Pelodiscus sinensis: one gene and its partner. The protein of the gene in region 1 binds, or shares a complex with, the protein of each later gene. Links are inferred from orthologs where the notes say so. Each region holds a gene or a part of one and is shown on either strand. Other genes may lie near its edges.

Region 1 (8,110 bases):
TAAAAAATTTACTAATGGGAGGTAAGGGAGGGAAATGCGTGTAGTCTATAGCATTAACCTATAAGCTTTGCATATTGGTTAATAAACTACACTATTACATCCCTACCCCAAACTGAGACAGCTTACTCCTCTGGCACTCTAGCACCATGGGGTGAGGGGAAGAGACAGGGAGGACTGAAGTTCAGGGCTTCCCATAGGCCAGGTTTACTTTTGTGGGGTTCCACAGTTAGTGGATTTTGTGGATTCTCTTAGGCTCTGGGGTGGGGACAAAAATGAGGGGTTCAGTGTGTGGAACAGGGCTACCAGCATGTGGGATAGGGATGGGGGTACAGGATCTGGAGTGGAGGTGGGGTGCAAGGAGGGGCAAGGATGAAAGGTCTGAGTGGGAGGTAGGGTGCAGAAGCAGGCTGGGAGTAGGATGTCTGGCCAGGGGGGAGGTGCAGGAGCCAGGTGGAAGTGCAGAAGGGTGCTTGTTGTAGGATGTCTAGCCAGGAGGGAGGATGCTGAGTGTGGCCAGTAGGGAGGGTGCAGGAGCAAGGGAGGATGCAAGAGCAAGCTGGAAGTATGCAATCTTGGCATGAGGGGGGAGCTTACCTGGCTTTGCACCTCTGTTTCTCCCAAGCACCACCTCCCGCTTCTCCCATTGGTCAGCCAATTGGAGCACCAGGGAAAGAGTGCATGCAGGAGGGGAGGGGGAGGTAAGAGGTGAAAAAAGCCCTGACCTTTCCCACCAGACACAGCTCGTGGAAAGAGGCAGAGCAAGCAGCTCCATGCGCTGCTGCTCCCCTGCCCCGCCCCCCACACTACTTGATTTGCTTGTCTCCGTGATCCCGGTCGGGCAAGGAAGTTTAGGGCTTATTTCACCTTTCTACCACCACCACTCCAAGCAGGAAGCGAGAGCTGGTGCTCCAGACTTGTGGCTGCATGGCAACCATGTGACTGGAGTGACAGCATAGGCTTCCCACTGAGTAGGTGAAGAGTAAGGATGTTAAAGACTAATTGACTCCCTCCCTCCCGTCAGATAGAGGCAGCAAAGGGGGGACGGAGGGGGTACTTCAAAGGGCAGCACCACACAGCTGATGCCAGGATCAGCTGTGCAGCGCTGCCCCTTTGAAATACTAAGGCAGTGTTTCAAAGCAGCAGCGCTGCCTGGAGCCCAGGGTCAGCTGGGGACTCCCCCGCTGATCCCAGGCTCTGTGCAGCGTTTCTGCGAAACCCATGATTAGCTGGGGAGTCCACAGGTCTCGGGAAATGCCATGCAGAACATGCAGTCAGCTGCGGAGTTCCCCGCTGACCCTGGGACTCCGTGAGTGCACTTCTGCTTTGAGATGCACAAGAGCCCCCACTGAGACTCTTGTACATTTCAAACTAGCATGCCCATGTGCAGCCCAGAGTCAGAGAAACTTCCCGCTGCATGCTGTGTTCTGCATTCCTCCTTTGAAATGTACAAGAGCCCCCTGGTGGAATGTGGTATTGGCTATTGACTAGTTGAGTACTCAATAGAAATTCCCTTGACTACTCAAATAGTAAATTAACTGCAATTTAACATCCTTAGTGAGGAGGGGAACGGAATTCAAGCCACAGACTGCCTATAAAGTGGCTGCAGCCCACTTGTTGTCCATGGACTGCACTTTGAAAACCACTGTTCTAGGGGGCTACAGGATGATCTACCTTCATACAGCAAGTCACCTCTGCTATTCACTGCTATGCTGGTGCCGCCAAATTTATTGACAAATAAAATTTGCAGAACCCCAAAACATCATGCACAGAATTTCCTCAGGAATATAAGAGAAATTGGTCCAATAAAACATTACCTCATCCACCTTGTCTTTCAGCAATTTAATACTAAATGTTTCTCTTAACTTCCAGATTTGTTTAAGAGGATGCTAACTTTCTAGGATAATATGCCTTTAGTTTCCATGATAAATTCAACAATTTTCTAGTGTCTCAGTTTTGTCTTGAGACCACAATATACAACTAAACATCTTCCGCATTATGTTTAACACCAACCCATGTAGATGTTTGTTACAACATCATAACTACAACCATGCAGTAAGAATACCTGCGCCTTTTGGAAGGCTTATTTACCTGTATAAAGAAACTGATCTTTCACGGGTTTTAAGCACAAAACTGCTGACGAACTACAAACTAAAATAATTTGAAAGGGTATTTCTGTTATCCATTAACAAAGGCACCACCTGTTTAAACAGATACAGTAGCTAAATGTTTTATATGGCAACCAGAAAAAAGGTAGTCACCGATTTACTACCATAGTCTATTTGGATGGTAGCTCGCATGTCATAATTTGCATGGAAACGTCGGTACCGGCCGGTTCTAAAATGACACTTGGCGTTCCGTGTTTTGCTGTTCTGGGTACGTTCATGGTCGTGCCTCCAGCTGCCCAAGGAACTTGCATTTTAGAAGTTGTGTGAGCTGGGTCGATCAACCAGCGAGTCTCATTCAGCGTATGCAGCTGGCCACAGGAACGCGGTAACCAGCAGCGTACGCCAGGCCGGCCGGCCGGCCGACCGACCGACCGACCGCCTGCCTGCCTCGCAGCCGGACTCCCGCACGCCCTCCACTCAGCCCCGATCCTCAGCCCCCGTTGTCCCCGCCCTCTGCCAACGCCACGCCCCCTTTCCCTTACTTCTTGGTGTCGCTGCTGAAGAGTCCGAAGGCCGCGGGGACGGAGGCCGGGGCTGCGGGAGAGGCCGCCGCTTCCTGCCCCAGCTCCGCCGCCGCCTCTCCGCCCTGCTCGTTGTAGCCGAGGCTGTTCGTGGACATGCTGCTGCTGCTGCGGCTCCTCTGGCGCCTGCTGCCCAACGGAACTTAGTGACGCGCGCACCGGAGTCCTCCCGGAAGCTAACGGCAGCGGTTGGGGCTGGAGGGTGCAGGCGTCACATGATGGGGCGGGGCTGCAGGAGCGGAACTTTCCCGGCCTCAGAGTTCTAACGTTCCTATGACAACCCCATTGCCACTGGCCAGGAAGGGACGTGAGAAGGCACGTGAAGCTCCGCCCAGGCTGTTGGCGTGGCGTGTAGGACGGGGCGGAAAGGAACAGTCTGGACTCGTACTGCCGCCCAGGGGGGGCGGGGCTTTACCTAGGGTTCTGCTTGCGCCCTTGAAAGCCGCGCAGACGCCCGGTCCGCGCGCCAGCAGGAGGGTGTGTGCGAAGGGCGGCGGTGATTGATTCCCAGAGCCGCGGTCCGTAAGGAGGCGGGCGGTGGGGCTCAGACGTACCCGTGCGGAGCACACGGAGATTGCGTCCGCCTCGCTGAGCCGCGGCCTAGCCCCACGCAGCACAGGTCGGATAGCGGCAGCCCCTGCTCCCCCCTTCGTTCGGCCTCTCTGGGAAGCATCGCACTGCAGCTGGGTGCCACTGGTAACCTGGAGTCCACCTTCCTATGACTGGTTACTTTCGGCATTTCACTTAGGCCCTGGACCGCCCGTGCTCCCCGTGGGAACAAGGATTTTGTAGTCAAAGCCCGCGGTCCTTGCAATTTTAGCTCCTGCAGTGCACCCTGGAAGCCTCTTGTAAATGGACCAGTCTACCGAAGCCCCAGTCTTGCAATGTAGCTGTGCATTCCTGTATTGCAAGCTTCTAGTGTGTGGTCACTGTGGTGCCTCTCCTTCTGTAACACCTGTACGGGAGAGTGGGGCATGTTTGGCACATAGATAGTGGCTTCTGTATGATTGCATTGCAAGCTATGCAGCCACTACTCAGTCTCCTACCCCGTGTAAGGGACTTTTGATCCCTTACTATAGTGGCTCTCAAAGTGCAGTCCACAGGCCACTAGTAGTCCACGGCTGCCTTACAGGTGATCCGTGGCTCGAACTCAGCACCCTCTTCCTCCCCCACCCCCCATGCATCTGGGAGCTCACGCAGGCTTCTGCACAGTAGGCAGGCGGTACAGAGGCGGGAGATTTCTCCTCTCTTAGGAGGGGGTGGGGAAGGAAGGGGCTCAAACAGGGAGAGGCTGCAAGTAGAGCCCAGTGGGGGTGTTTCCAGCCTGATGGGCAAGGGGAGGCTCGGGGTTGGGGGCAACATAGAGTTGCCAGGTGTCCGGTTTCAGTTCGGTAATTGCGCCTTCCCTCTGGTTAGAAACAAAAAATATTCATGTAAAATGTCTGGTATTTTCTGATTTCCCCCTGCCGTGTCTGGGGAGGGTGGGGGGAGCAAGGGAATTTAAAGATAGAGCAACTTTTTTTTTTCCTCAACAGAATTTTTTTCCAGCGTGGTTTTTTTTGCGGGGGGGGGGGGGGGGAGAGGTTGGTATTTTTTGTTAAACCATCTGGCAACCCTAGGGGCAAGAAGGATTTCCCTGACTTGCTCTGTGGGTTTCATGCTGGCAGTGCAGAGCTTAGCTCAGATCCCTTCCATCAGCTCGTTAAGGTACATGGTGGGGGGAGAGAGGAAATGTAAAGGGGCTCCAGTGCTGGCTGGGCCATGCAGGAGCACTACTTGTGCTTGGCTTGGTGCAGCAAGGAAGCTCAGGACAGGCTCTCACTGCCCATTCACCTTTCTCCAGTGGGCACACTTCCCCACCCTTGTGTCCCGCCCAGACACCAAGTGGCAGGACCTCCTACCACCAATAGAGGGTGGGGAGCCCAGGTGGGACAGTCTCTATTCCATCTTAGTTCAAAGGCCCACTGAGGACATCAGCTGGAGAATCCTGCATGGAGCTGTGAGCATGGTGTATTTGGCGCAGTTCACGCCCATTCCCGACACTTGCCCCTTCTGTGGCGAGAGGGAGAACCTGGCGCACGTCTACCTCGTGTGCGCCAGGTTACAGCCCCTCTTTCAGCTCCTCCAGAACCTTTTGTTGAGGTTCTGGCTACACTTCTCCCCTCACCTGTTAATTTACGCACACCCCATCCGAGGCCCCACAAAGTCGCGGGACCTCCTGGTCAACCTCCTCCTGGCTATTGCCAAGACGGTAATTTGTAAGACCAGGGAGCAGAGGTTGGCCAAGGGAGGGGCCTATTTCCATTCCTGTGTCTGCTCACGTATCCGGGCAGAGTTCCACTGGGCAGCGTCCTCTGGCTCTCTCGAGACCTTCGAGGGGCAGTGGGCGCTGTCTGGGGTTCTCTGCTCGGTGTCCCCATCCGGTTCTCTTATTTTAGCCCTTTAACCCTCACGCCCGTCCCTGTTTTCTTTTTATTTGTCCCAAGTAATTACTTGGTTTCCTGGGCTCAGTGGACCCTCCCCTTAAGCTGGGGGGAGGTCCTCCCAGATTTCCAATAGGCACCTTTCTCCAGTGGGCACAGTGGATTGGCAGCACCCCCGGGTTGCAAATAGCACTCAGAATGGGGCTGAAAAGTCTCCACTCCATTTGCAATTTGGATTCCTTTGCATGCACTGGCAGGTGGATCTAACCTTGAAGGGGGGTGGAGGAACCTACTTCTTGCAAAAAGGCAGCAAGGAATAGTGCTTGAAGGTGGGGGAAGGGGTGCACTGGGATATTTGCAAAATCTGGAGCATTTTGCAGGAGCAGGCCCCAATGCAACCGGCTGGTCTGGTGCCAGGGAGTTTGCAGCGATGCAAAGGAGCTGGCAACTGTGCTGCAGATTGGCCCATGCCAGTGTGCCATGGGGCTCTGGACTATCCCCAGCCAGTTATTCTGAGGATAGCAGCATGCTGCCCTGCCTCTCCCCCGCTTGCCTTCCAACTGCATAAGGATAAACAACAAATGGTCTGGTAGCACTTTATAGACTAACAAAACATGTAGCTCAGCATCTCTTAAAGTGGCAGTCGGAGTTGTGCTGCAGAGAGAACAAAATTCAAAATGGCCACCCTTAAAGGGCTCAACTTTTCCCTGGGGGGCATTTTTTTTCTCAACAAAAAAATCCTTGGTGTTCCCTCATAAAAAAAATACTGTTTGGTGTTCCTTGGTCTTAAAAATTTAAGAAACGCTGATGTAGATGGTATCATGAGTTTACGTGGGCACTGCCCACTTCTTCAGAGCACCAGAGCTGAGCCTGACCTTTAGGAAAAGGCCCCCTCTAGCTGCTCTGAGGCTGTAATGCCCAAATGAGGGATGGGAAGGAAGGCAGCGAGATGGCTGATTTATTTGGGATTGGAAAAACTTAAGAAACAACAAATAGTTTTGCAGCACCTTAGAGACTAACAAAAAAATGTAGATGGTGGTATCAGCTTTCATGGGTACAACCCACTTCTTCAGATGAATGGAGTTTAAGGAGTCCAGTTTTCAAATACAGGCAGTCCCCGGGTTACGTACAAGATAGGGACTGTAGGTTTGTACTTAAGTTGAATCTATATGTAAGTCGGAACTGGCGTCCAGATTCAGCCGCTGCTGAAACTGACCGCCAGTTCTGACTTACATACAGAATCAACTTAAGAACCCCAGGCGTCCCCAAGTCAGCTGCTGCTGAAACTGATCAGCAGCTGATTCCAGGAAGTCCGGGGCAGAGCAACTCTGCCTCGGGCTTCCTGTAGTCAGCGCTGGTCAGTTTCAGCAGAAGCTGACTTGGGGACACCTGGGGCAGAGCAGCAGGGGTGCTGCTGGGTTGCTCCAGTAGCGCCGCTCCTCGGCGCTACTGGACCAACCCAGCAGCACCCCATCTGCTCTGCCCCAGGCGTCCTGATTCAGCCGCTGCTGAAACTGACCAGCAGCGGCTGAATCAGGACACCTGGGGCAGAGCAGCTGGGGTGCTGCTGGGTTGGTCCAGTAGCGCCCAGAGCGGCGCTGCGGGACCAACCGACAGCGCCCCAGCTGCTCTGCCACAGGCGTCTGGAGAAAAGCCTAGTCTGCTGAGGGGGAGGGGGCGTACTAGCTGCGCCCCCCCCAACCCAGCAGACCAGGAAGACGCGGGCGGCGGACCGAGACGCACCGCGGTCCCGCCACCTGGGTCCTCCGCGGCTTTGCTCCCAGTCTCCCTGGTCTGCCAGGGAGATGGGGAGCAAAGCCTCTGAGGACGCCAGCAGCGGGACAGAGCCTTTGCAAAGCCTCGGGTAAGCCGGCAGCGGAGCAGCCCAGGTGCGCCTGGGCTGCCTCGCTGCCCGAGCCCCCCCGCGGCTTTGCTCCGCGTCTTCCTGGTCTGCAGACCAGGGAGACGCAGAGAAAGCCCCAGAGTATACGGGCGGCAGGACCGTGAGGACCCGCAGTCCGTGTCCTCCGGCGGAGCCCCATTCGTAACTGCGGATCTGACGTAATTCGGATCCGCGTAAGTCGGGGACTGCCTGTAATTAGCAGAGAGAGGGGAAAAGAGAAGGTAAAAAGAAAAAAAGTGGGGGGAGGAATTGTCAGAGTGTCCATGCTAAATGAAGTTGATAAGAATACTTATTACCCACTTTAAGTACCCTTGGTTTGTTTTTTTTATGTCATTAGGATGTGGAATGTAGTGGGCTATCCAGCCAATGCCTCTGTTTAGACCTCTGTTGTAGGAATCAAATTTGTAAATGAAATTAAATTCTGTAGCTTCCCTGTTGAGCTGGCTTTTGAAATTGGTTTGAAATAATACAGTGACTTTGAGATCTATTAATGAGTGCCCAGGCAAATTGAGGTTGATTCTGCGTGGAGCAGGGAATGGGACCAGAAGGCCTCGTAGGGTGCGTCTACACCCTTAGCTCAAAATAAGCTACGCAATTTGTGCTACACGATATTTTGATATAGCTTATTTGTAATTTGGCACTGTCTACACAGCAGCACATTTTGAAATAAATCGCTATTCCAAAATGCCCCTCAGGACGTCAGAATAAGCCGCCCATTGTTTCGAAATCTATTTTTGAAATAATGGGCTGCTTCAACAGACGCAGAACAGACATACCCCTAGGGTCTCTTCCAACCTTCCTCTTCTATGGTTCTATGTCCATAAGGCTGTGCAGGCTCCCCGCTGTGTGGAGAGGGCTGAGCTCCACCCCAGGGAATGGCAGTGCAGTGATGTGCTGTTCAGAGGCAATGGGAGCAGCTGGGCAGCAGTGATTGGGAGCAGCGGGGTGCTCACCCCCCCTCATATCCAAACCCGCCATGCTCCAATCCCCCTCACTCATCCACCTTGCCGAGACTCCGCACCCCAGCTTGCTCCTACATTCTCTCTCTCGGCCTGCTTCTGCACCCTACCTCCCATCCAGACCTTGCACCCTCACTCC
Region 2 (7,976 bases), on another chromosome or scaffold:
AGACCAGGGAGACGCTGAGCAAAGCCGCGGAGGACCAGGCCGGACCCGCGGCGCTTCCAGCTGATCTGGAAGCGGCCGCGGGTCCGGCCCCGGGTTCTCTGCCGCAGCACCGCTCCTTGGCGCTACTGGACCAACCCGGCAGCACCCCAGCTGCTCTGCCCCAGGCGTCCCCAAGTTAGCCGCTACTGAAACTGACCAGCGGCTGACTACAGGAAGCCCGAGGCAGAGTTGCTCTGCCCCGGGCTTCCTAGAATCAGCTGCTGATCAGTTTCAGCAGCAGCTGACTTGGGGATGCCTGGGGTTCTTAAGTTGAATCTGTATGTAAGTCAGAACTGGTGTCCAGATTCAGCCGCTGTTGAAACTGATCAGTTTCAGCAGCGGCTGAATCTGGATGCCAGTTCCCACTTACATACAGATTCAACTTAAGAACAAACCTACAGTCCCTATCTTGTACGTAACCCGGGGACTGCCTGTACCCCAATAGATGCACTGACACAAAAAATGTCAAACTTAACTTGGGTTTTGTCTGGGGTAGTCATGGTACCAGCATTGGGACAGAGTTCTCCCAGAGCTCCACATAAAACACCTTCACAAGGGGAGTAGCTAACAGCACCAGGAGCCTGTTTACACTGGTGCTTTACATTATGGTAATTTGCTGTGCTAGGGCTGGCAGGAGGGGTCAAAATCTCTTAGCGAGAAAGTTACAGCGCAGAAGAGTGGCAGTGTAAATTAGCCCTTAGAAAGAATAGGTCATCTGTGACTTTTTGTCATGACTGTTCTCATCCCAGTGTTAAAGCACCTTTACTTAATATGGGTTGGACCTCCCTACTCTGGCACCTAACTAGTCCTGGATGAGGGAGTTTGCTGAACCAGTAGAAGGCTCCACCACCTGCCACCAACCCCACTGCCCTACTGGCCCTGCTGGGCAACCCCCCCCTCCACCCCGCCAGCAGCCATCTCTCCTGCATGCCCAGGTGGGACTCTGTCCAGCTACAGTGCAGTGGAAGTCCTGGCCCCACTGTATCTTGGGCATACTGGAAAAAAGGGGGGGTACTCCACACCAGTTGGACCAACCACAATATATCACCGGGGGGGGAGGGGGGAGAGAAGGGAGGCTCTCCAGTCTGGCTAGGCTGGAGCAGTACCCTGCCCACAGGATAACGATTAACTGGTTAAACGATTAACTGGTTAAACATTTCATTTAAACAGTTGATTAATTGCAATTTTACATCCCTACATTGAACTAACTTATTTTCCTCAGATAACAGAAAAAGTATTTCCGGTATCATGCAGCAATGCTTGGTATATAATTTGAATTAACACTGAAATCTGGCTAGTGTTGTGGAGCTCTCATTATGGATGAGTGAGGGTTTTTTTAAATGTCCTACAATAAGCTCTGCATAAATCAATTAGAAGTTTAAACCATTCCAAAATCCTGTTTAAATAACAAATGGGAAACCTGAACTCACACCAACTTGTCACTTCATCCTTGTCTTTTATTCATTTTTTAAACACCTGAGATATTCATAATCAAAATATCCCATACGTACAACTGAGAACAACAAGTATTCAACCCTACATTCAGACCTATACAATAACAAGAAAAATAGCTGTTAACTTGGCTTTCTGATTTCCGAAAGGTAAAACGATTCTTAACCACCTAAACCTGTATTTCATAATGGGATTGAGTCATTGGCCTGTGTTCTGCCAAGGATAGTAGATTCCCTGGCCTGACTGGGTACCAAGCATCTCATGCAGTCTCCCATGCATGGGGAAATTCCCCACCAGAATTTGCAGTGCTGCCATCTTATCTTCTTTAAATCCATCTTTAATACTTCACTCTGCCTTGATGCCTGCAAATCACTTCTGTTTAGCAATGACTAAACAAGCAGCACGCTAAAATTTCTATTTTTTAGTAAAAGTTATCATTTTGTATCCTCATTTCAACCCAGCTCCACCCTGTTTTGCCTGTCTATTCATACTACACTTGAACCTCTTTAATCCAGCAACCCTGCAAAACAGGGTGTGCTGGATTCAAGATTTGGCCAGCCCACAGAGGGCACTGGGGCTCTGGACAAGAGGGGGATGGAGGTGGAGCACTTACCTGGTGCCCTGCTTCTGGGGGCACATGTGGCTCCCTGCCCCCTGCCACTCCCAAGCCCTCTGCTGCTATGGGAGCGGCAAGGAAAAGCACATTGGGATGGGAAAAAAATTTTGGGTCAGGGACCCAGTGCCAAATACAGTTGGAGGTTCCTGGGTGCTAACAGAATATATACAAAGCAAGGAATGCCATTGTACTGGATAGCTTTAGTCTCTTAAAATAGGTTTTCTCCCTAAAGCATCGTATTAATAATAATCATGACACTTTGCATGTCTATATAGTGCTTCCCAGTTTGGGATCTCTAAGCCCTTTTTCAGCTTCTGCAGGTTGAACCTCTGTGGTCCAGGACTCTCTGGTCTGGCAACACTGGACCACGGGATGTTGCTGGACCAGAGCGCCCCAGCGGCAGAGATTGCTGGTGGCTAGGAGCAAAGCTAGCCAGTGGGGCAGCAGAACTCGCAGGCCAGCAGGGCCATAGAGCCTATGGGGCAGCAGAGCCTGCAGCCAGTGGTGAGCAAAGCTGACAAAGCCTGCAGCCAGCAAGGCAGCAGAACCTGCAGAGCCAGTGGGGCTGCTGGAGCCTGTAGTGTCATGGAGTTGGTGGGGGTGCTGGAGCTGGCAGGGGCCAGTGGCTGGGGACAGGAGCCCTGCAAGGAGGCTGATACCCTCCTCCCCCGGCCTCCCTTGGTTCACCGAACTTCTTTGTCCGCGGACCAGTCAGGTCCCGAGGGTGCCAGACCAGGGAGGGCCAACCTGTAGTCAAATATCTTCCCAGGCATCTATGAGGAAGTTACTTCAGATGCTTAATAGCAGTGTGTCCTTCCTGACACCCAGCAGCGGCATCCATGCTGTCACTGAATGAATTAGTGCAGACTTGCATTTTTTTCCTCCTCTGCGGCTCCTACTGTCAGCTTCCTCAAAAGGACACTGTTCCTTTCACAGCTGTCTGCTGAACTGTTAGTACTTACTGATCTGCATTTTGCAACCATCCCATTTTCTCTCTGTCCCCAATATTCCAAACTGCTAGGAAGAACCTAGGCGCCGTTATGAAGTGCCTCAGTCCGTACTCAGAGCATTATGTAGGGACATCATCTGGTTTTAGATAAAATCTGGCTATGAGTGACAGAAGGAAAAGTGTAATAATCCCCCCCCCCACACACACACACACAGAGCACATGACACTGCCAAATGCCTGGCATTCAGAACAAGATCTCAGGCAAGGCAAGATGCATGATACTACCACGTGCCAGAAGAGATACTGGAAACCCCCAGCTCCTGCCCTGTTGTACAGAAAGATCAAATCCACTGCTCACTAACAAACAAGTTCTCTGTTCCTTGTGCTGCGATTTGCCGTTGATTCACATTTGCCTCCGGGACCGGCACACTTTAAGGTGCAATGGTGATCCAATGAAGGACTGGAGTCGAGGGTCGGTAGAAACAACACCCCCAAAGAGCGACCTAAATCTAGCAACCTTCCCTAGGGTTCAGAAAGAGGAAAGGTCACTCCATTCCCCAATCTCCGGTACCGGGGGTATTTAAAACACAGACACACACACATTCTATGGCAGCTGAAGCAAAATGCAGGACTATGTAGCACTTTAAAGACTAACAAGATGGTTTATTAGATGATGAGCTTTCGTGGGCCAGACCCACTTCCTCAGATCAAATAGTGGAAGAAAATAGTCACAACCATATATACCAAAGGATACAATTAAAAAAAATGAACAAATATGAAAAGGACAAGTCACATGTGTTCATTTTTTTTTTAATTGTATCCTTTGGTATATATGGTTGTGCCAATTTTCTTCCACTATTTGATCTGAGGAAGTGGGTCTGGCCCACGAAAGCTCGTCACCTAATAAACCATCTTGTTAGTCTTTCAAGTGCTACATTGTCCTGCATTTTGCTTCAGCTACCCCAGACTAACACGGCTACATTTCTATCACTATTCTATGGCAGCAAATTCAACTCCTACAAAGCCACCTGAGCCTATCCCAGTGCACGTGTTGCAGAAAAGAAGGCAGGAAAAGAAGCCGGCCGGCAACTCTAATATCCACAAGTATCAGAGAGGGCGGCTGCGCTAATGTGCAACCGCAAAAGCAACGCTGAGTCCTTCGAGATGCCTTTGGGCGCACGCTCTGGCGACGTCCCCTCCCCAGACCCCGGCCCGAGTGCCCGCAAGTCGCACCAGAGCCCCGGCGCACGTGCGCTCCGCCCTCCTCTGCGCCTCTCCCGGCTTGACTTTCAGGCTGCACTTCGCCCTTATGCTGTGCTGCCCGCTCCCCCCCGGGGTGCAGCCGAGTCTCTCCCTCGCCCCTCGCCAATTACCTAAGCTGGGGGGGGTCCAGCTTGAGCTTCTTGGCTTGTGGTTCCTCCGCTGCCATCTTCATGCTCAGGCTCTAGCAGCGCAGCCCCGGGGCTTCTCGGCAGCCTCTTGCAGCAGCTTCCAACCAGGGCGACAGGCGGCCGGCAGCAGGCGGAGCCGAGGAGGGGAAGCAGGGGGGGGGCGGCAGAGTGGGCCTCCGCGCGCCTGATGGAGACGTGGAGAGGAGCCGGGTGCCCGCTGTGAAAATAACGCGGCTCCGGCTGGACCAGTTGCAACAGGCGCTTTTCCTGCTGCAGGACCAGCCCCGCCTGGGCATTTGGGTCCCCCCCGCCCCTGCTTCGTCATGCAAAAATCATCATCAAAGGACTCCAGCGCATTCGCCCCCGGGGGCGGCTGCAAGCGGCTTACGCGGAGCCCCGGTTTGCGCACGGCTGGAGGCAGCCCCACGGCCACCTGTGCGTGCAGCTGGGGGCGGAGGCATGGGGCGGGCCGGGTCCTCACAGCCATATTTGCCACGGCTGGCGGGGGGGAGAGGGGCCGCTGTGCTGCGGGGAAGCGGGGCTCGGGGCGCTGCAGGTGAATATGTGTTAGCCCCGCCACTCGGGGCTGCTCTCCTTGTGGGGTGGGGGGGTTGCATGACAAAGGCCTGGTGGCAGCTAGCTCGGATCCCCTAGAAATCCATGGTCCCTCCATTGTTCCGCACGCAGCCCTGGGATCCGGGCGCTGCTGCCCGTGAGAATTGATTGCCTGGCTGGCTAACTGTGGAGTGCAATGCACGTGGGCTTAGCAATAGCATCTGGGCTGTCTTCACCCCCAAACGAGGCGTGCCGAGGTGGGTCCGGGGTTCTCCTGCGCTGGAGGGAAGGTTCGGGAGCAATCGAAGGTATTTCCAATCTTTGGTGTGTCGTTTCCTGGTGTTCCAGTCCGGCTGGGTAATATCTCCTGACTGGTCAAACTTACTGAAAAAATTCTCAACAGCCCGAAGTCGAGCAGAGATCCACTTCAGTTTCACTAACTCCTTTCACTTTAAAACATTTGAATGTATTTTAATCCATGGAGCTGTTGCTTTCTCCCCTCCATAAGTGTGCCGTAATGAGATCTAATATCGGAGTCTGTTTTTAATTTGCTCTGTCCTGAGTCTTAGGATTTCAGATTGTATTTCACTCGTAAGAACTGTCTTTATAACTGCAAATGAGTTTAACTTTGGATCCCGGAAGCTTTCCGTGGTGTAAAAGAAAATGAATTGCTACTAATCTTCCTAGTCTCTATACATTAATCTCTGTATGAAACCTTTTCCCCATGAATAGGCTTGTTTTACAGTTTAACTTTTATATCTATCACCATTATCATATTTAGGTTCCCATTTATGAATGAAAACAGGAGACGTTTATATATTTTATATAAACGCAAAAATTTGGGGTTAATGTCTTAACACTTAAATTTCTGATAAGTAAGCTAGAAATGAAAACACTAGATTTATGTGGGATGGGTACATTTTGGTTTGCACTGAGTGCTTAACGGGTCACTGCAGCGCTTTGTGCATGTTGGTTTTGTTGTCTGAATTGAATAAGTAAATGTGCATACAGAAGCAAATTCTTGTAGTCTTTTAATAGTCTGGATTTTTTTATTTAAAAGTTTTTAAACTGACCCATTCACTAATCATCACACCCACACGTATTTCATAGAAGCAATCTTTCAAGAATATTGCAATCCACAATCTTGATATTCTGGAAATATAACATATTAAGCAAAGTGATCTATTATGTCAAGCTCTTTGGTGAAAGAGTTTATTTATAAAGCAGCTAAGTTTGCTAGGCAGGATATAGGATCACTAAATACATGTCTCTGCCCTGAAAAGATTTTAGTGTCTGTCTCTCTCTCTCTCCCCCTCTGTGTGTATAGGTGATGAGCAATGGCATGAGAACAGGAAGATAGAAAGGGGATTAAAATAGGTCATGTGCTTATTTAGGTTTATTGCATATTTTTCTTTTTGGTGTTGCCTTGCCTTCAGTTTATTAACAGCAGAATAATAGTTTGTTGGTAACAGTTGGTTTCTCTGAAGCTTTGTCTGTTAGGAAATTTAACATTTGCTGATAATTTGTCAGTAATTGGTGCGTTTGAACTGTATTGAAAAGTGCTGCAGCTTAATTTCAAGTGGCTCTTGTATACTCCAGGGGAAAATTACTAATCTGTCTAATGGCACTAATGTTGGGAGTGTTATTATACACAGCTCCAGTTTCTAAACAGCCCTTTCCAGAACCATGTTGAGGTTTATTGTGGGGAGTTTGTTGATGGAGATAAAAAAGCTCCATGAGCACCTTGCTATCATTAGGGTTCCCAGCAGGGCAGTTTTCACCGGTGATAGCACCAGTGCAAAAAAAAAAAAATCTGTAAGAGTCCCTCATGACACACAGCCTGAATACTAGCTTCAGCCTGAATACTACCTTTCATATGTGTTCTTTTTTTTTTATTGTAATTGTATCCTTTGGTATATATGGTTGTGACTATTTTCTTCCGCTATATGATCTGAGGAAGTGGGTCTGGCCCACGAAAGCTAATAAACCATCTTGTTAGTCTTTTAAAGTGCTACATGGTCCTGTATTTTGTTTCAACTAGCTTCAGAGTCATCTTTCTCTGTGCTTAGTCCCTTTCCTGTTACTGATCTGTTTTTCATTCCAGTAGCCCTACTGATCCAGCTTTCAGTGGGTACCCACTGAATCTTCAGTGGAATGTACAGATGTTAAGAGAAAATTGCTTCTCCATAAACTTACAGTCTAAGTCTAGACAAAGGGGGGGGGGGATGACTGATTACACATGCAGAAGTGAGGTGATAAGTGACTTGCTGACAGTCACACAAATGCTGAGAGGGGTAGCTGCCTTGGTCTGTATCTAATTTTTTTTTTTTAATGGTCATGTAGCACCTTAGAGACTAAGCAAAAAATACAGCTAGTATCATGAGCTTTCATGGGCACAACCCACTTCTTCAGATGACAAATACAAAAAGCATGTAGAAGATGGGGAATGGAATTGACACTGCTTGAATCCCAGAACCTTAACTAACAAGACCATCCTTTTTCTCTGTTCTGCTCACACTAATGGTTACTTGTATCAGCAAGCAGCCATGTTCTTGTCTGGTCAGCAGCCAATCTGTCCTCCCTCCCTGCCATGTACTATTTTTCCCTCCACTTCTGTTGAGTTGAAAACACTATCCCTGATTCTCAGGAGAGCTAATTTTTAAAGTGTCAGCAAGCCTTTCATCCCCTCTGTCTATGTAAAGGTGTTACTCTTACTTGTTCTAGCTTATTAAAAGAACAGAGTCAGCATGATATGTTGTTTCTCTGGGGCTTTGCTTTTTGTTTTTAAAAAGCAGTTACACATGCTCTTGAGTCTGTCAATTTTCAGTTTTTGTAAAAATTTAAAATGTGTTATTTCCCCTTTCTCAGCCTATCCAAATGAAGATAAAAGTACTGATTTTAAGTACTGCCCTGTGCAAGCAAAAAGATGCATTAAGATGACTAATAGAATTTTTATCATATTGTTTCTCAGGTA

What was found.
Region 2: the proteins of AP3B1 (region 1) and AP3M1 are in contact, whole or in part, in a cryo-EM structure (PDB 9C5A), measured with the Homo sapiens proteins. The link is inferred for Pelodiscus sinensis from reciprocal best matches to the Homo sapiens genes AP3B1 and AP3M1. Residues at the interface, in NP_003655.3 of Homo sapiens: Leu60, Lys64, Val67, Gly68, Ile70, Ala71, Lys72, Gly73, Ile92, Glu93, Lys96, Leu97, Val100, Arg104, Glu107, Asn128, Gln129, Leu130, Arg137, Arg143, Ser163, Pro164, Tyr165, Lys168, Asn169, His172, Gln175, Lys176, Leu202, Ser206; in NP_001307192.1 of Homo sapiens: Met1, Phe15, Leu16, Glu17, Trp20, Lys21, Ser22, Val23, Gln26, Val42, Glu43, Asn44, Val45, Pro46, Pro47, Val48, Ser50, Tyr55, Ser58, Ile59, Tyr60, Gln71, Thr72, Glu73, Val74, Pro75, Pro76, Leu77, Phe78, Ile80.

The regions. Positions count from the first base shown.
Region 1 is NC_134716.1:86,592,469-86,600,578, forward strand, and holds the start of AP3B1 (AP-3 complex subunit beta-1), read right to left. Parts: upstream 3,236-8,110; 5' UTR 2,785-3,235; coding exon 2,648-2,784; intron 1-2,647. UniProt on the Homo sapiens protein: Subunit of non-clathrin- and clathrin-associated adaptor protein complex 3 (AP-3) that plays a role in protein sorting in the late-Golgi/trans-Golgi network (TGN) and/or endosomes.
Region 2 is NC_134718.1:7,351,282-7,359,257, reverse strand, and holds the start of AP3M1 (AP-3 complex subunit mu-1), read left to right. Parts: upstream 1-4,751; 5' UTR 4,752-4,770; coding exon 4,771-4,882; intron 4,883-4,930; exon of another isoform or gene 4,931-5,003; intron 5,004-5,022; exon of another isoform or gene 5,023-5,198; coding exon of another isoform or gene 5,199-5,310; intron 5,311-7,976. Other genes in the region: ADK (adenosine kinase), read right to left, coding at 4,430-4,491. UniProt on the Homo sapiens protein: Part of the AP-3 complex, an adaptor-related complex which is not clathrin-associated. The complex is associated with the Golgi region as well as more peripheral structures.